2 linked regions of the Rhinolophus ferrumequinum genome follow. The protein of the gene in region 1 interacts with the protein of each later gene in a biochemical or structural test. Links are inferred from orthologs where the notes say so. Each region holds a gene or a part of one and is shown on either strand. Other genes may lie near its edges.

Region 1 (7,198 bases):
TGACCACCTAGACGCAGCACAGCAGGGACCAGGCTGCAAACAGACACACGGTGTGGTCTTTCTGAGCTTCTCTGAAGCCACGGCATAGTCAGTTTTCAGTGTAAATGCTACACGCTGGCCTCCTTTCTCGTGCTTCTCACCTGAATTTATGGGAAGATGTAACAAGGCACCAAAGAGAGGAAACAGATGTCATGTAGAAGGGTGAGGGTGGACTTGATTCCTGAACTGGGGGGGCCTGTGTGGTGTGCGAGGCAAGATGACCGTGAGGTCTCAGCAGAAAGCAGACGGTGCCCCAGAGTTTGGAGCACAGGTCCCAGGGGCCGGAGGTGAGGCCGCTGATATGGACGAAGCTCCCTGGGCTCGGGATGCTCAACTGACATGTGGGGAGGAGACCTGATTCCTTTCTGAATGTCTTTCGGCTCTACAAATCTAACAACACAAGACGTTCCGTTGGGTGTGAACTGCCACAGTGGTAGCGCGACCTGGTTCTTGCTGGCTCTTTATCTCGATACAGATAGAGGGAGGTGGGGGTCAGCACCGGAGGAATGTCACTAGTCAGGGATGGGCATTTGTCCCTAAAGCAAGACCTCTGAGCATGCTGTCTTCCTCTATCTGCTTCTTACTGTCTTCCCTTTAGTCTGTTTCCTTAGGAGGGCTAGTTTGGGTAAGAAAAAGAATCAGAGAAGATAGAGCAAGAGACAACCCCTCACCTGCAGTGAGTTCGGTGAGGGAGAGACTGGAATGAGTCATCGATGGATTTTCCCAGAACCTCATACACAGAGGCAGGGACTGTACCCACACTCAGTACTGGGCGCTTTTGCCTAAGTGGGAGGCTTACTTAGCATTAACAAGAAATCACTTGGAAAGCAATATATGTTCACTTTAGAAATATTAGAATAGCGACAACAACCAAATACAACAGAATGATAGCCGTTATCCCACCACCCAGGGCCAACACCCTGGTGGATTTCCTTCCAAAAGACACACACTTTTGGAGAAAACAAAAATGGGATTATATTGTTTGTCGTGACCTTTTTCCCCCATATTCAGTTGGTCATATCACGGTTTATTTAACCAATTTCCTTCTCTTGGACATTTAAATTGTTTCCAGTTTTGACTTATAAAAAAGACTACAGATATATAAACATCTAGCCAAGTCTTACAAGTCCTTCATTATTTCCATAGGATAAAATAGTTATTTTGAACTTGTTAGGTCAAAATAGAAATATTTTTGATGCTTGTGATTCACACTGACAAACTGTCCACCAGAAACTCTAGACCTATGTGCATTTCTACTGACCACGTACAAGAATGTGTTTTCACCATCATTGACACAATATATTTTCATTGTTAAAATGAAAGATGAAAAAATGCATCTAAATTAAAGTTTACATTTTCCGTATTAATAAATCGACATTTTCATATGCTTGTTGTTCAATTTTATTTCTTCTTTTGTGAATTGTCCCATGTACGACCTTGACCTATTTTAATATCAAGGTGTCTGTTCTTTCCACGTTTTACAAGAAAATTTTAATTTCAACGGTAATAACCTTTGTCATATATCTTGCAAATAATTTCCCCCTTTTAGTACTGTGTCTTTTAAAATTTTTTTTTATGGCTTTTTACGTACAAAAGTTTTAAATGTTCCATGTAAGATCTATTGATCCCTTTCGTTTTCACAGTTTTTGTTCTGGAAGCCATGCTCATTACTCAAAATTGAATGAGATGTGAGAGGAGCAGAATTAATGTTTCAAAAGGAAGAACAGAAAGCTTCTCTCCACTTGCTCCATGAGAATGTAAGAAAAACTATCAAGAAAGTGGGAGGAAGAGGAGGCAACTTTTCTCAAAAGTTGAGGCAGGTTTTATGATGACCATTATCCCATCGTCTGGACCAGGCCGTGAAAGGCTGGACAGCTGGCTAATGGGTTAGCCACTCACAAGCAGAGACACGAGATACTCATGGTTTCTTAGGATCTGCATTTACTTTTGATAAAACATGTGTGACTTAAGTGTCCTCTATTTTAAAAAAAACTTTTCATTATAAAAATGATAAGCGCTCGTTACCAAAATTTCTGACTTCACAGACATCGATGAAGTAAAAAGCGAGTTTCTTTTCAGCCTCCTCAAAATCTAAGTCCTGAAAGGTAAACACTGACAAAAGTTCAGCATGAATCCTTCCAGACTTTTCTCCATGCATATACTAATTATAATATAATAATAATACAATATAATATAACCTAATACAATATAATGTAGTATATTCTTACTCTTAGGTCCACTTTATTCTGTTTTAACTGTTATACAATATTTCTTGATATGAATATACCATAATTATAGTTGTTTGCAAATTTTTTTATTACAAAAAAATGCTACAGCAAACATCCTTGAACAGAAGTTTTGCACATATAGGCAAATATTTGTGTACACTAGATTTCTCGAATTAAATGTGTAAAGTCAAAAAATATATGTATTTTCAAGTTTGGTGGAAATTGTCAAATTTCACCCCCCAGGACATATGGATTCACAACCCCTCCAGTATTGTATGAAGGGCCCTATTTCTCCTATATTCTTGTCAATAATGTAAATTATTTTTTCTAATTCTGCCAATCTGATGGCGAAAATGGTATTTTGTGGCTATGATATATACATATTTTTTTTTTTCCTTTTTCTTTTTGGTGACATTAGACGTCTTCTCATATGTTTATTGACATTTCTTCTATAAACAGCTCATTTATATTTTTTGCCCAATTTAAAAACTGAGTTTTCTTTTTCTTATTGATTGATAGGAATAATTTATGTATCTTGGATATTGGTAATTTTTCGTATATATGACTATTTCCTGTCATGTCTTTTCATTTTGTTCACTATCTCTTTGCCTATACATAAATGTTACATTTTTATGCAGTCAATTATATCCATCTTTTCTTTATCACTTTTGGATCATATAGCATATGTCGGTATGCCTTCCATACTCAAAGATATGAAAATGTCTATGTTTTTTAACACTGTTATAGGTTTTTAACATTTAAAAATTTAATCCAATTGTAGTTTGTTTTTGTGGATGATGTAAGTTAGGGATTTGTAATAATCATGAGGTAAATATTTATTAGGCCTTCCTTTACTTGACTTAATTTCATTCCGGGGCAACTTTTTGAGAGATCATATTGGTATTTGTACCTAAGGTTGAAACAGAAAACAAGCACAATTTTTAAGATTTTTATTGCCTCTATTCTAAAGAATTATAAAACTGGAAATTTGTTTTGGAAAACTGTCTCTGGGTGTAATTTTTTTCTGTGAGTAGATCTTTTCTGTGTGTATGCATCAATGTATCACTTTCTTTTCCCGTATCACAAATTTCTTTTTTCTTTCTCTTTCGCATTCCTCTCTCAATTTTCTTTTTCTCCGTATCTGTTCTTTTCTTTAATCATCTATAGTGTTAACCATCTCAAATGTTTTTTGAATCATTTGTTTTCGTTGTTTAATAGTATTTCATAGTCTCTCTGCACTTTCGTTTGTTTTGCAACAAGTTTGTTTTGTGTTTTTTTTTTAATTTATCTAACTGTGAATGTCAATAGAGTCGTTAACACTAAATGTAAGATTTGGGTAGTTCAAGCATTTACAGCTGAGACTCACTTTATATTTGTTTCTTTTTTATCACAAAACAAGTTTAGAACTTTAAATAAAAACACCTTTTGAGGAAGAGAAAAAAAATCTGCTTTTCTAATTATTTCATATGCATTTATTTTCCAATATGTATAATCATAGAATAAATGTTGTATTCTGCTATTCATTTATGAAAATTTACCTCTATTTCGATGTGGTTTTGTTAGAGGCTTTATAGCTGAATGGATAGAAGATGGGTTGTACAGTTGAATTGGCCTCCTTTATAACTAAAGGGTGATCTTAAGTGATTTGTTTAGCCTCTCAGTTTCTGTCTCTTCAATGGGGGTAATGAAACCCACCCAAGATTGTTGTGAGAATTTAAATGCGATAGGAAAACACACTCATGAGTACACCCACTTTGACAAAGGAGCTTATCAGCAGGGTTGGTTTGCTGCGTGAGTGAGTGTGTGTGTGTGTGTGTGTGTGTGTGCACGCGCGCACGCGCATATTTGTACTTTTTATGCTACTATAAAAGAAGCAAAAAACAGAGACACGTGGTTAAGCTCCCAGGGGTGGATTCTACCAGTTTTACTTTAGTTCCTCCTTTTATAAGAGCTCAGAATCACAACAAGGAAACTAACCCCAAAGATGAGCTTCGCATGTCAAATCTTAGCCAACTTCCTTCTGATTTTCATCTGTTTTACCAAAGGTACGTTGGTGTGTGGGTCAGGTACGTTGGTGTGTGGGTCTCCATGGTCTCCATTAGAAGCTTCTTTGGAGACTCTGAGCTGGGCCAAAGAGGTCACAGGTCAGCTTTCCCTGGCAGTGAGTTTCAAGACCTCAGTAACTGTCTTGCTTTTTATAGGTGCAGCTCCTACAGACATTATAGTCCTGGGTAAGCTGGGTCATGACATCAACCTGAACATTCCTGAGTTTCAAATGAATGATACTGTAGATGATATAAAATGGGGAAAAAATTCAACCAAGGTTGCACAATACTCAGTCAAGAAGAAAACTTACCAGCGAGAGGAAAAATACCACATATTTAAAAACGGAACTCTGAAAATTAAACGTCTGGAGAGAAATGACAGCGGTACTTACAAGGCAGAAGTATATGATTGGTATGGAAAACACATTCTTGGAAAACAATTTGATTTAAGGATTCTAGGTAAGTCTTTGTTCCTTACATTCTTCCATCTCAATATGGGTGCTATTTAGCAAGTTGGGGAATGGCATTTATGGAATGTGCCCAGGCATGACCTTGGCCTTGGGGGAGCCCCAAAGGTAATCTAATGCATGCCTCTTACCTCAGTAGAGGCTCCCATCTTGTGGGAGAGGTGAAATCCACACGTGGAAATCCACAGCTGACAGAACTTCAAGTCTACCTGCCTAAAATTGTCTCTTTAGTAGTTATTGGAATATGGGCATTAACCACAAGGTGGGCAGAAGAAAAAGGTGGGCATCCCAGGTTGATGATGAAGGGGCAAGCTAGGTGTAGAGCGGGGAAAGTGAGGCTGACGGAAGAGCAGTGTATCTTCCAACTAGAGCGACAATTTCAAGCCAGGATGGCCTGGAGAAATAGTTACATGGCAGGCAAGGGCTGAAAATAATGAATGTAAAGATGCACAGCACTTGTTTCTGATCTGCGCCATATCAGAGTGATCCGAGGGAGCAGATGTTTTTGCTGATCTCTGTAGAGAAGACCCAAGGTGTGGCTTACTTCGTATGTCTGTGCTTGTGCCAAGACAGCAGGGGTGCCTACTGCAGACAGAGGCAAGAAAACTAGCCAAGAAGCTGTCACTACAATCTGAGCGCAGTAGAGAGGGGCTGGTTTGTGATTCTTAGTCCTGGTTGCACGTTATAATCAACTGAGATGCTATTAAAAGTTATCAGTGCCCAGATTCCATCCCAGACCAATTAAGTCAGAATTTTCTAGTGTCGGGCCTGGGCATCAGTAGAGTCTAAAGACTCTAAAGAGCAGCCAAGTCTGATAACCACTGGGCTAGACTAACGGGTGCCTAAAATGAGGAAGAGTGAGCCTACTAAGCGTCCTAGGTGGAGAAAGGATGGGCAGGATGGCTTGGGTGTGGAGAGAGGGAAGAGAAAGTGGAATGTAAATGACATGGAAGTTCAAAGCTCAGGGGCCACTTGGTAGGAGGTGATCAGAAATGAGAAGAGGAAACAGCACTTGGCTTGGAGAGGAAGGCAGGAACCCCAATGTTAGCACAAGCCAGCGATTCAGTGAGCAAACAAACATCTATGCTTCACACAGGAAATGCTACCAGCAGCAGGGCCCCCTCCTTCGACAGACCTATGGTCACCCTCCAGCCCTGTTCTCAGCACATGGACCTGGCAGGTTTTCCTCGCCAACAATCCCAGACGTTGTCAGCTCACTGTAAAGGACAACTGTCCACACCCTAGTTCTCAACCTTGCATGGAGAGTACATTCCAGAAATGGGGTGGGGCTGAGAATGGAGCCAGAAGGGGCCTCTGTTTACGGGCCCAGGGAGCCCCAGATCTCAGGACTCCTGCCAGCATGGGCTCTAGTGCTGTGCTTTGAACGTGAACCTCACATTCATTTCTACTTTAGTATTGCAGCGATAATCGTGGCTACCAGCTGGGTGTCAGGGGCTTTGCCTCCATGATCTCAGCTAAGGCTCCCAACAAGCCTGAGCGGTAGCTGTTAGCCGTTTCTTTTCTATAAGGACCCAGAAGTGAGACTTGTCCACAGTCTCACAGGTTGACGGGTGCAAAGTCAAGCTCCAAACCCAGGGCTTCTTTTAACAAGGATGGTGACAGTGTTCTTCCCCAAAAAAACGTAATTGGGATACAATTCACATGCCACAAAATGCACCCATTTAAAGTGAACAATTCGATGGCTTTTAGTATATTCACAGAGTTGTGCAACCGTCACCACACTCAATTTTAGAACACGTTGAGTCCCCTAAAAATAAACCCCGCACTCCCTGGCCAAAAAACAGAGATCTTTCCATGACACAACAGCCACCTTGCTCTGTGTGTATGTGGGGGGGGGGGGCAGGGGGGGGGAGGGGGTGTAAATGTCACCCAGCATCTTAACTCAGTTTTGTGGTCTGGTCACCATTACTTTCCGCATGGCATTGGGTAAAGCTGCTCTGAGTCTGATTTTCATACTAATACTTGCATGGAGTATTCAGTGAGACAAGCAAAGGCACCCTGCAGTGCCTGGGACACAAGGCCTGTTTGCTCAGTGCCCTTCTCTGTCTCATGGTTTCTCTACGCTTCTGCGGGCTGCAGCCTTGCACCCACGTCTCATTAATGAGTGGGCTGCAGCTGCTGGCTGAAAAGGCAGTGGAAAGCTCCTTAAAAGCAGATGTTAGTGGAGAAGGAGTGAATCCTTGCAACCTCGAATTGAGGAGGTCTCATCGATGAGCTCTGCCCCAGCTTGACCTGGCCGTTCCCCTTCTAGGAAGCTGTCTCACAGAGAGGATGTGCACAAAGAAATGGCTTCGAGAGTCTGCTCACCTCTGTGTGGTTTATATTAGTGAAATGCTGGAAAGGATTTAAAAGCCCCCAGCAGTTAGAAACTTACTCATTAAACGAAGGACACATCTTT
Region 2 (7,869 bases), about 160 kb from region 1:
GGAAGGCAGTCTTCTGCCTCATTTCTCTATTTCAGGGGTGTGAGCTTTCAGTGGGAAATTGGTGACCCCTAAATGGACTGAGTCAGTGAGGGAAGATAGCTTACTGTTCCTCTCTCTGAATGGAAAGACGCCAGAGGGCTGTCTGGGACTGGGCCCTGTACCTAAGATTTGAGTTTGAATTGGTTCACAGCTGTAGAAAAGTGTGTTCTGCACATTATTAAATAGGTGAAGCAGTTGTGGGAAATTTGAAAGGAAAAAAAAAAACCCGAAGCCAGTATTTTAATAATTGTGTTTTTTTTTTCTGTGTATTTTCTAACGGGCTGGGGAATACAGTCAAAGGGTGAGTTTTTCTAGCTTTCTATGAAAATCCCCAGGACCTTCTTTCTTTGGCCATTTCTATGGAAATGTGGTGTCAGATGAGTGGTAATGGTGCCCTCCAGTGGCTGGGAGACCTCATTGCACATAGCGGACTGGAGCCTTCAGTCCTCCGACCAGGACAGACAGACTTTTCTTATCAACGATATTGCATTCATGAAACCTGCAGTGGGCTAGGCCCATCCCAGGATATGGATATGACCGCACCCTCTCTCACCAGGGTGTTTCTGTAGCAAGTTTTCATATTCTTGTCAAACAGTGGTTTCTCTGCGTTAATTGTTGAAGAAAAAAAGAGGTGGGATAAGAAAACTACCCGTGCATGGTGTAGAGAGCTGTTGATTTTTTCGCTTGTTTTTTTTTTTTTTTAAGGAAAACGATTTGTAAGATGTTGCACTAAAATGTTTTATATACACTTCAGACACCTGTAGTAAATTATGTTGAAAATACGGCTGTTTATATTTCCTGGAGTCCACTGTCCTTTCTCCTCACGTAATCAGCAGCGACTGTCCTCCATCAACCTGTGTCCTGAAGGTCTAGAGTGAGTCCTGCCCCTGACGTTGACCTGCTAGGCTCAAGGTTCATGGATTGCAGCCTTTATCATCATGCCCCACCCCCAGCCTAAGTGGTGGCTTTGTACAAATGATAACAAAACACTCTTTTCTCAAGACACCCTGCTGTCATCTGCTGACATGTATCACAATAAAGACACACGTGTATCCTGACAGGCAGGGCTATACTGCCCCTTCAGTTGTGCAACACACAAAGCACCTGGAGGCCTGCTAGGCGGGTGCAGAATGTAGAGTTTATACCCTGTTCTTTTTGCGGAGGAAAGACGGGTGGGCAGAATGGGGTGAGGAGACTGACGGAGAAGGAGATCGGGAACATGGGCCAGCCTTCTCCTTGGCCGTCGAGGGCCTCTGCAGCCAGAGCCCACCATCTTCCTCAAACTATACCGTGAAATATTCAGCCAGCATTTTCCAGGAATGGAGGAAGGAGCAGGAGCTGTGCATTCCTGTTTGGTGAGGATGCACAGCTCACCCGTCTCTGTTCCCTGCACAGCTTGGAGGCTGCGGTGTGTGGGAGGAGTTCACCGCGTCTGCAAGGTGAGAATGACAGAAAGATTAAAGCCATCATGGTGACACACAGTCAGAACCTCTCTGTGATTCTTTAAAATTCACTGAAGAACATGCAAAAGGAACTGGATAGAGGGTAATAAGCAGAGGGAGGTGCCTCCTTTTCTTTTTCTTCCTTTTAAAATGTAAGCCTTTCAAAGGCTTGAATGTGTGGTTTCCTCTGTTCTACATCCTCATTTGCTGCACCCTTATCAACTTCTCACAGCTGCTTGCTTGGCCAGTGTTGAAATGGGCCTGTTTTTCCATTGGGTACGCACAATGGTTGGTTCCATGTTAAGTCTCATGAGATATTTTTGCTTCATTTTTCCCAAATGTTCTCTTTCTGCCAGGGACCATTTGAGAAAGGAAAACAGAGTTACAAAATGAGAATACCCCTTGACGCCCCTGGTGCAAATCTGCCCCGTGTTTATATAAATGAAGTGAATGCACACTTCTGCAAGAGGCAAGAACGATTCTCATTTCTGCAGGATCAGGAGCAGTGTTTTCCTCTTTAAATTCTAGGATGTGTATACAGAAGCTTCCTGGGGGTAGTTCCAAGACTGGGAAGAAGTAGAGCCAGAGTATCAGGAGGGACATGCTAGCAGGAGCAGCAACCCCGTGCCATAAGAGCCGGCTAAAGGAGTCCTCCTTTCTTACCTCTTAGTCCATCATTATCTACAGTGACAAGCAGATGAAACTGGACCTCTCAAGACTGGTCACGGGATGAAACATACATTCAGCCCTCTTTTCGGTGGCAAGTCTGCAGTATATGAAATAGAGCCTTTTTGGACCCCAGCCTGAGGCACTGCAGGTCCAGCCTTTCAGAGTCACTTTTGATTCATGAAGTCTGCTGGACCAGGCATATAAGTGCTTCTAAAAGTGCTTGGTGGGAGCACAGCCCCTCTCTTAATGAAAGAGCTGTCCTTCCTGTTGGTCAGAGGAGCGTCCAACAACCTAATGAATGACGACCTAATGAATCATTCCTCACCAGATGCCTGGAGACCATGACCTGGGGGTTACCTCCCAGCCCCACATGACTGGGTAGTCCTTTCCTCAGCCCTGCCGTAGAGGGTGTTGGCTGCTCCTGCTGGCCAGGCCAAACAGCAGCCTGAGTGCCCACCCCAAAGGTGCATCCTGCTCCTGTATGGAAGGGTAAGAGTGGCACGTGGGACTTAGCTTCCGTGGGACTCCTAGTTCTACCCCATACTGTGTGTCCTTGGGCAAGTCACTTACCTTCTCTGATCCTCAGTTGCCTCAGCTGTAAAAATAGGGACAGCAATAAGATTAAATTAATCCAGGGAATACACAACACAGGACCTGGCTCATCGTAAGTGCTCAACAGATGTTTGCTGTTACGTGACTTCCTAGCTCAAAAACTTTCAGGGGCTCCCCAGTGTCTCGAGGTGTGACCCCATCCTACCTTTCCAAGTTGGCCAGAGTTCTTACCAGCGCAGGGCAGAGGAGACACTTGATTTTCTCACATTTTGTGCTACACACTGCACCTGCCTCACGTTCTCCATAGCTACAAACGGGTAGGGAATATCTTCAAGTGTCAGGCTTCATGATACAGTCCATTGGTGTGAACAGACCTGAAATGTCACTGCTCGAGATACCTTGTAAGATTTTATGGCTAATTTAAGAAACAACCCACCAATTCTTACCGTCTAGTCCAAGTGTCTTGAGTGGTTTTGGGGTCCCCACCTGAGGACGACGGTGATGACAGCAATCCTCAAACATTTCCACTCAGTTGCACACTTGGCAATATGTTGGTGTTTGTTAGGATAGCCGGGGTCCTGTTCCTGGCAGGAAAGAGTTCCCTTAACGCTACAGCTGTGCAGGGGCAAGTCCAGTGCTTCTGCCTGAAAGAAAGGGGGCGACTAGGGAGGCTGATGTAACGGGCTGGTTCTGCGAGTCATCTGATATGGAATCAGACGGATTTGAAGGGAGGGGAAGCCAATGGAGAAAACTAATCCATAGGATGGAGAGTTCCAAGGGCCTGGTGCAGTTAGGGGTGATTTTGGCAGGCTCCACAGCGAGGGCGTGAACAGACCTGACTCCTCCTCCTGAGGGAAAGTCCATCCTCCAGAGGAAGAGGAAAACAAAGAGGGAAATCGAGAAGGGACAAACCAAAGCCTGGAAATTCCAGCTCTGGGGAAGGCAGTGCTGGGAGTGGAGGTCAGGCTGAAGCAAAGGTGGCATGCACGTAAATGAGGAAGGAAAGACTGGTATTTGAGGGGCTGCACCAGTCACCACACACATTCTAGGAGTCGTCTAACATTCCCTGTTTCCTTTTTTAATATTTGAGGAAAGAGTGGCTTAAAGAGGCTGTCTTGTCCCGAGTCCCCATAGCTGAGTAACTGGCAGAGAAACAAGCTTCACGCTTCTGCTGCTGCTGCTGCTACAAAGCACTGAAGGAATAAAGTGCTTCGGAGCCTCTCTGTCCTTCGGCAGAGTTCTGTCATGTCAGGGGCTAGCCGAGTGCGGCGCCGCTTTGCGGGAGTGACAACCACTCTCCAAATGCCAAAGAGATGAGCTGGAGGTGCGGAAGGAACGAACACAAACCTGTGTGGGGACCGAGTCCCAGAAAGCAGTTTCTAGGCTCTCCACACCTCATGTGCAAAGGGGCTGGCTCGGGTAGTAGATGGCCGTCAGCTATAACCAGTTAACCATTGGCCACTAACATAACTGCTGTGGCTAAATTAGCAAGGGCAGAGTGCGACCAGCAAGGTTGTTGGTTGGCAGAGAAGCACGGATTGCAGCTAGCAGGTGTGGTTAGCAAACGAGTGGGCAGATTGCAGATCATGTGGCTCCAGCTTCCTATATCTGCAACCCAGGCGTCTGTGAGAATATAGTGGTATGAACCCCCTGTCTGTGGCTCCATTGGTGTTCCCTTTTGGCCTCGCCATATCCTGCGTTCTTATGTTGGGAGTGGGACCAGCGACCCCCCCCCCCCCCCAGCATGACAGCCTGCTTTTTAAAACGCAAGCCACTTTTAAGGGAAAATTCCGCAAAGCATACAGGGTGTTGGCGATGGGGGCGTGGCGGTGGGGGCTGGGGGACAACAAGGGGACCCACTGGGGAGACTAGAGGGCATTCCAAATATAGAGGAAAGGGCCCCCCCCCCCCCCCCCCCCCCCCCCCCCCCCCCCCCCCCCCCGGCGCAGGATCGCGCCAAGAGGCTCCCTCGGGAAAGTGCGAGGACGGGCGGGATTGCACCCGCTCCGGGAGCGCTCACAGGGGTGGTGAGACTGCACCCCGCCTCCCACGCGGGGGAAAAAGGAAGTGCTTCGGATCCCTGACGACAGGACTTGGGCTGGGCGGGACCAGCGGGGCGGGACCTTCCGGGGTACAGCGGTGGCGCCTGGCTCTGGCACACAACTCGCTGGCGCCTAGGCGCGGAGGCCGGTGAGAACTATGGTCTCGGGGAGCGCGGAGCGATGGGCCCTGGTGGTCCTCGGCCTGGTCTGCTTGCTCCCGTTCGGTGAGTGGCGGCTTTCCCCGGAGCCCCCGCAGGGACTGGGCAGCGCCGGGGGTGTCCGTAGCCCCACGCGTCCGGAGCCGGGTGGACGGGGTGGGGTGGGGTGGGGCGAGGCGACTGGAAGTTGGGTTCAGGATGGGACGGGGACGGGACGCGGAGAAACGCAGCCAGAGGGACCTTGTCAGGAGAGTTGTCATTTCACCAGCAAGTCCCCTTGGGTGCGCAGGAAGAAACTTGAAAGGTAGGCACTTGACTCGCGTTGGATTCAAGAGGGGCGGGATTCCGCCTCGTTTCACCCCCACGCACTGTTTCCTGTCTCTGGTGACCCCACGGCCCCGACTCCACCCAGTGTTCCTCCGAAAGGATGTGCCTTTTTTTCTGAGTCTAGTGGCTGTTGAGTTACTGGCGAGGTACCTTCGCCGAGAACTTGAACTGCTTGCCCCACCTGTGAACTTTTCCGGAACGGGGTCTGGGTAGCGGGTCCGACGCGCTTGACTGCGGTGAGTCGGTGCCCGCCAGCCAGCGTGACAGGAAAGCTGAGATAAGCTCAAAGAACCTACGTTACAAGGCACAGAAGTAAATGTCAAGAGAGGTTAAACATAAAGTGTTATGGGTGTGCAGAGGGGAGAAATCAAATATCTTTTGTGAAGCAAAGATTTCAAGGAAGGGAGGGTATTTGAACCTGGCCTCAGGACAGGTGGGATGTGGACATGCCACGATGGGGGACAAGATTCCAAGAGAAGACAGGGGAGCAGAGTGAACAGGGTGAGCTTGGGCAATGCGGAGTCGGTGTGCCCACGGGACCTTGAGGCTGCATGGTGGAGCCCTGATTGTCCCTTTTGGGACTTTGGATGATCTTCTGCAGGCAAAGGAGAACTAACTCTTTCTGGGCCTGACAGCATCAGAACCATGCACTTTGGAAGAATAATCTGTCAGCACCAAAGAGGAAGGATTGCAGTCCAGAGGAATTGGAGACAGGGAGGCCAGGGCAGAGACCATTAAGGGCCCAGAGGGCTTGTGGGTTTCATATGCCGGTGGCTATGGGAAAGAGGGAGCAACATACACAGCGCATGACTGGGTGGGGTGACTCTCCTCTTCCAGATGAGCTGGTCTCTCCTTGGCCCCAGAATGCACCTTTGGTCACTGCTCCCTGAACCTGTGGTCTGTCTTCCACTGAAAACCCAATTTACCCATCAAGTCCCACCTCCTCCACAAGATTCTCTGAACAGTTTCCTCAGGGAGGTCTCTGCCCCCTACTTCATGTATTCATTCAGCGAGTATGAATACCACCTGTTCTGAATAGGCCTTGCCTTAAGGACAAGGCTGATGTATGGGACACCCTGCAGAAGGCGAGCCCTCGGGGGCGGAGCCTGCCTCGCTAGGGAAGCTGCTTACCTGTGATTGACAGCATCAGCTCTAGAGTCAGATGCTCAGGTGTCAGACCGGGGCCCCACCCCTCACCTGAGTTATAACTTGTAGGAGTGAGCTAACTTCTGTGTGCCTCAGGATCTTTGTCTTTGAAGACAGAGAGCACCAGTCACACGAGACAAAGGATAATAACAGTATCGACTTCACAGAATGATTGTGAACACCAGTCATTCAACAAATACCGAGTATGGAGTATGTGTCAGGCACTGTACCAGGGCCTGGAGATGCTGCAAGGAACAGACTCCTCCCTGCCTTTGTGAAATTTACATTAGAGTCGCGGCAGGGGGAGCCAGTACACACATACACTGAAAAGATTTTTTTTTGTGCTGAACCGTTTGGGCGTTGCCTTATCTCCCAATATTTCAACATGTTTTCTAAGGACACTTGGTCTTCAGTAAGTCATAGAACCATTACCACCGAAACAGTGTGACTCATTTTCCCTCATAGAGCTTTGTGCTTTATGACATCACCATTTATGAAAAATCTGGACCAGTAGTTTTATAAAATGTCCCTTGATTTGGATTGTCTGTTTTCCTTGTAATTAGATTCTGGTTAAAACTTTCTTGGCAGGAATTTCTCGTGGGTGTGTTGTCTCCTCCGTGCACCTCGTCAGGGGCAGATGCAGTCCATTTGTCCCATTATTACAGATGTTACCTTGGATTATTTGGTTAAAGGGAGGTTTACCAGATTTCTCCATTGTAGAGATCCCTTTCCCCTTTGTAAATAGCATGCGATTTATTGATACTTTGACATTGTGTGACTGTTCTCTTCCCCCACGATCTTTCACCGATGTTTTAGCATCCAGTGGCCATACTTCCCCACTGAATATGTACAGAATACTGGATTTTAAAGTTTCTTGGATTAATCTTTTTTTTTCTTCTGGGTGGTTGTGTATCAATTTATATACTCGTATAGTTGCATTTATTTATGTTTCTATTCAATTTTAGGGTCCCCCCCCCGGCTTTAATTTTTAAATGTGTAATATATTAACATGGTTCAAATCAAAACTATGTAAAAAGATATGCTGGGAGCAATCTTATTGCCTCCTCTTCCTTCCCCCCATAAACATATAATTTGTTTCTGTTTTATCTTTCTTGTTTCTATTTGCAGATATGAACAGATACATATGTTTTTTTCTAACTCCCTTTGTTAAACAGCAGGTAACAGACACTGTGTATTCTTTTGTACCTTGTTTTTGCCAATTAACCATATGTCTGGAAAATCATTCCATACCATTTCACAGAGATCATCCTCAGTCCTTTTGTACAGCTGCATAGTACTCCGTGGCATGGAGATAATGACATTTCATTCAGCCACTCTTTGATGGTTAGCATTTTATAAGTGTGGTCAGGGGAGGGTCTCTTTAAAAGGGTGACAGTTGAGTGTAGACTTGAGGAAGGGAGGGAGCAGGCCAGGTGGCTGGTGGGGGAGTAGTATTCTAGGCAGAGGAGACCTCAAAAGCCCTGCGATAGGCTT

What was found.
Region 2: the proteins of CD2 (region 1) and CD58 form a complex in vitro, tested with the Homo sapiens proteins (3 studies listed by BioGRID and IntAct, with this or other methods). The link is inferred for Rhinolophus ferrumequinum from reciprocal best matches to the Homo sapiens genes CD2 and CD58.

The regions. Positions count from the first base shown.
Region 1 is NC_046305.1:46,901,428-46,908,625, forward strand, and holds the start of CD2 (T-cell surface antigen CD2), read left to right. Parts: upstream 1-4,154; 5' UTR 4,155-4,251; coding exon 4,252-4,312; intron 4,313-4,468; coding exon 4,469-4,771; intron 4,772-7,198. UniProt on the Homo sapiens protein: CD2 interacts with lymphocyte function-associated antigen CD58 (LFA-3) and CD48/BCM1 to mediate adhesion between T-cells and other cell types. CD2 is implicated in the triggering of T-cells, the cytoplasmic domain is implicated in the signaling function.
Region 2 is NC_046305.1:46,745,020-46,752,888, reverse strand, and holds the start of CD58 (lymphocyte function-associated antigen 3), read left to right. Parts: upstream 1-4,820; 5' UTR 4,821-4,901; coding exon 4,902-4,968; intron 4,969-7,869. UniProt on the Homo sapiens protein: Ligand of the T-lymphocyte CD2 glycoprotein.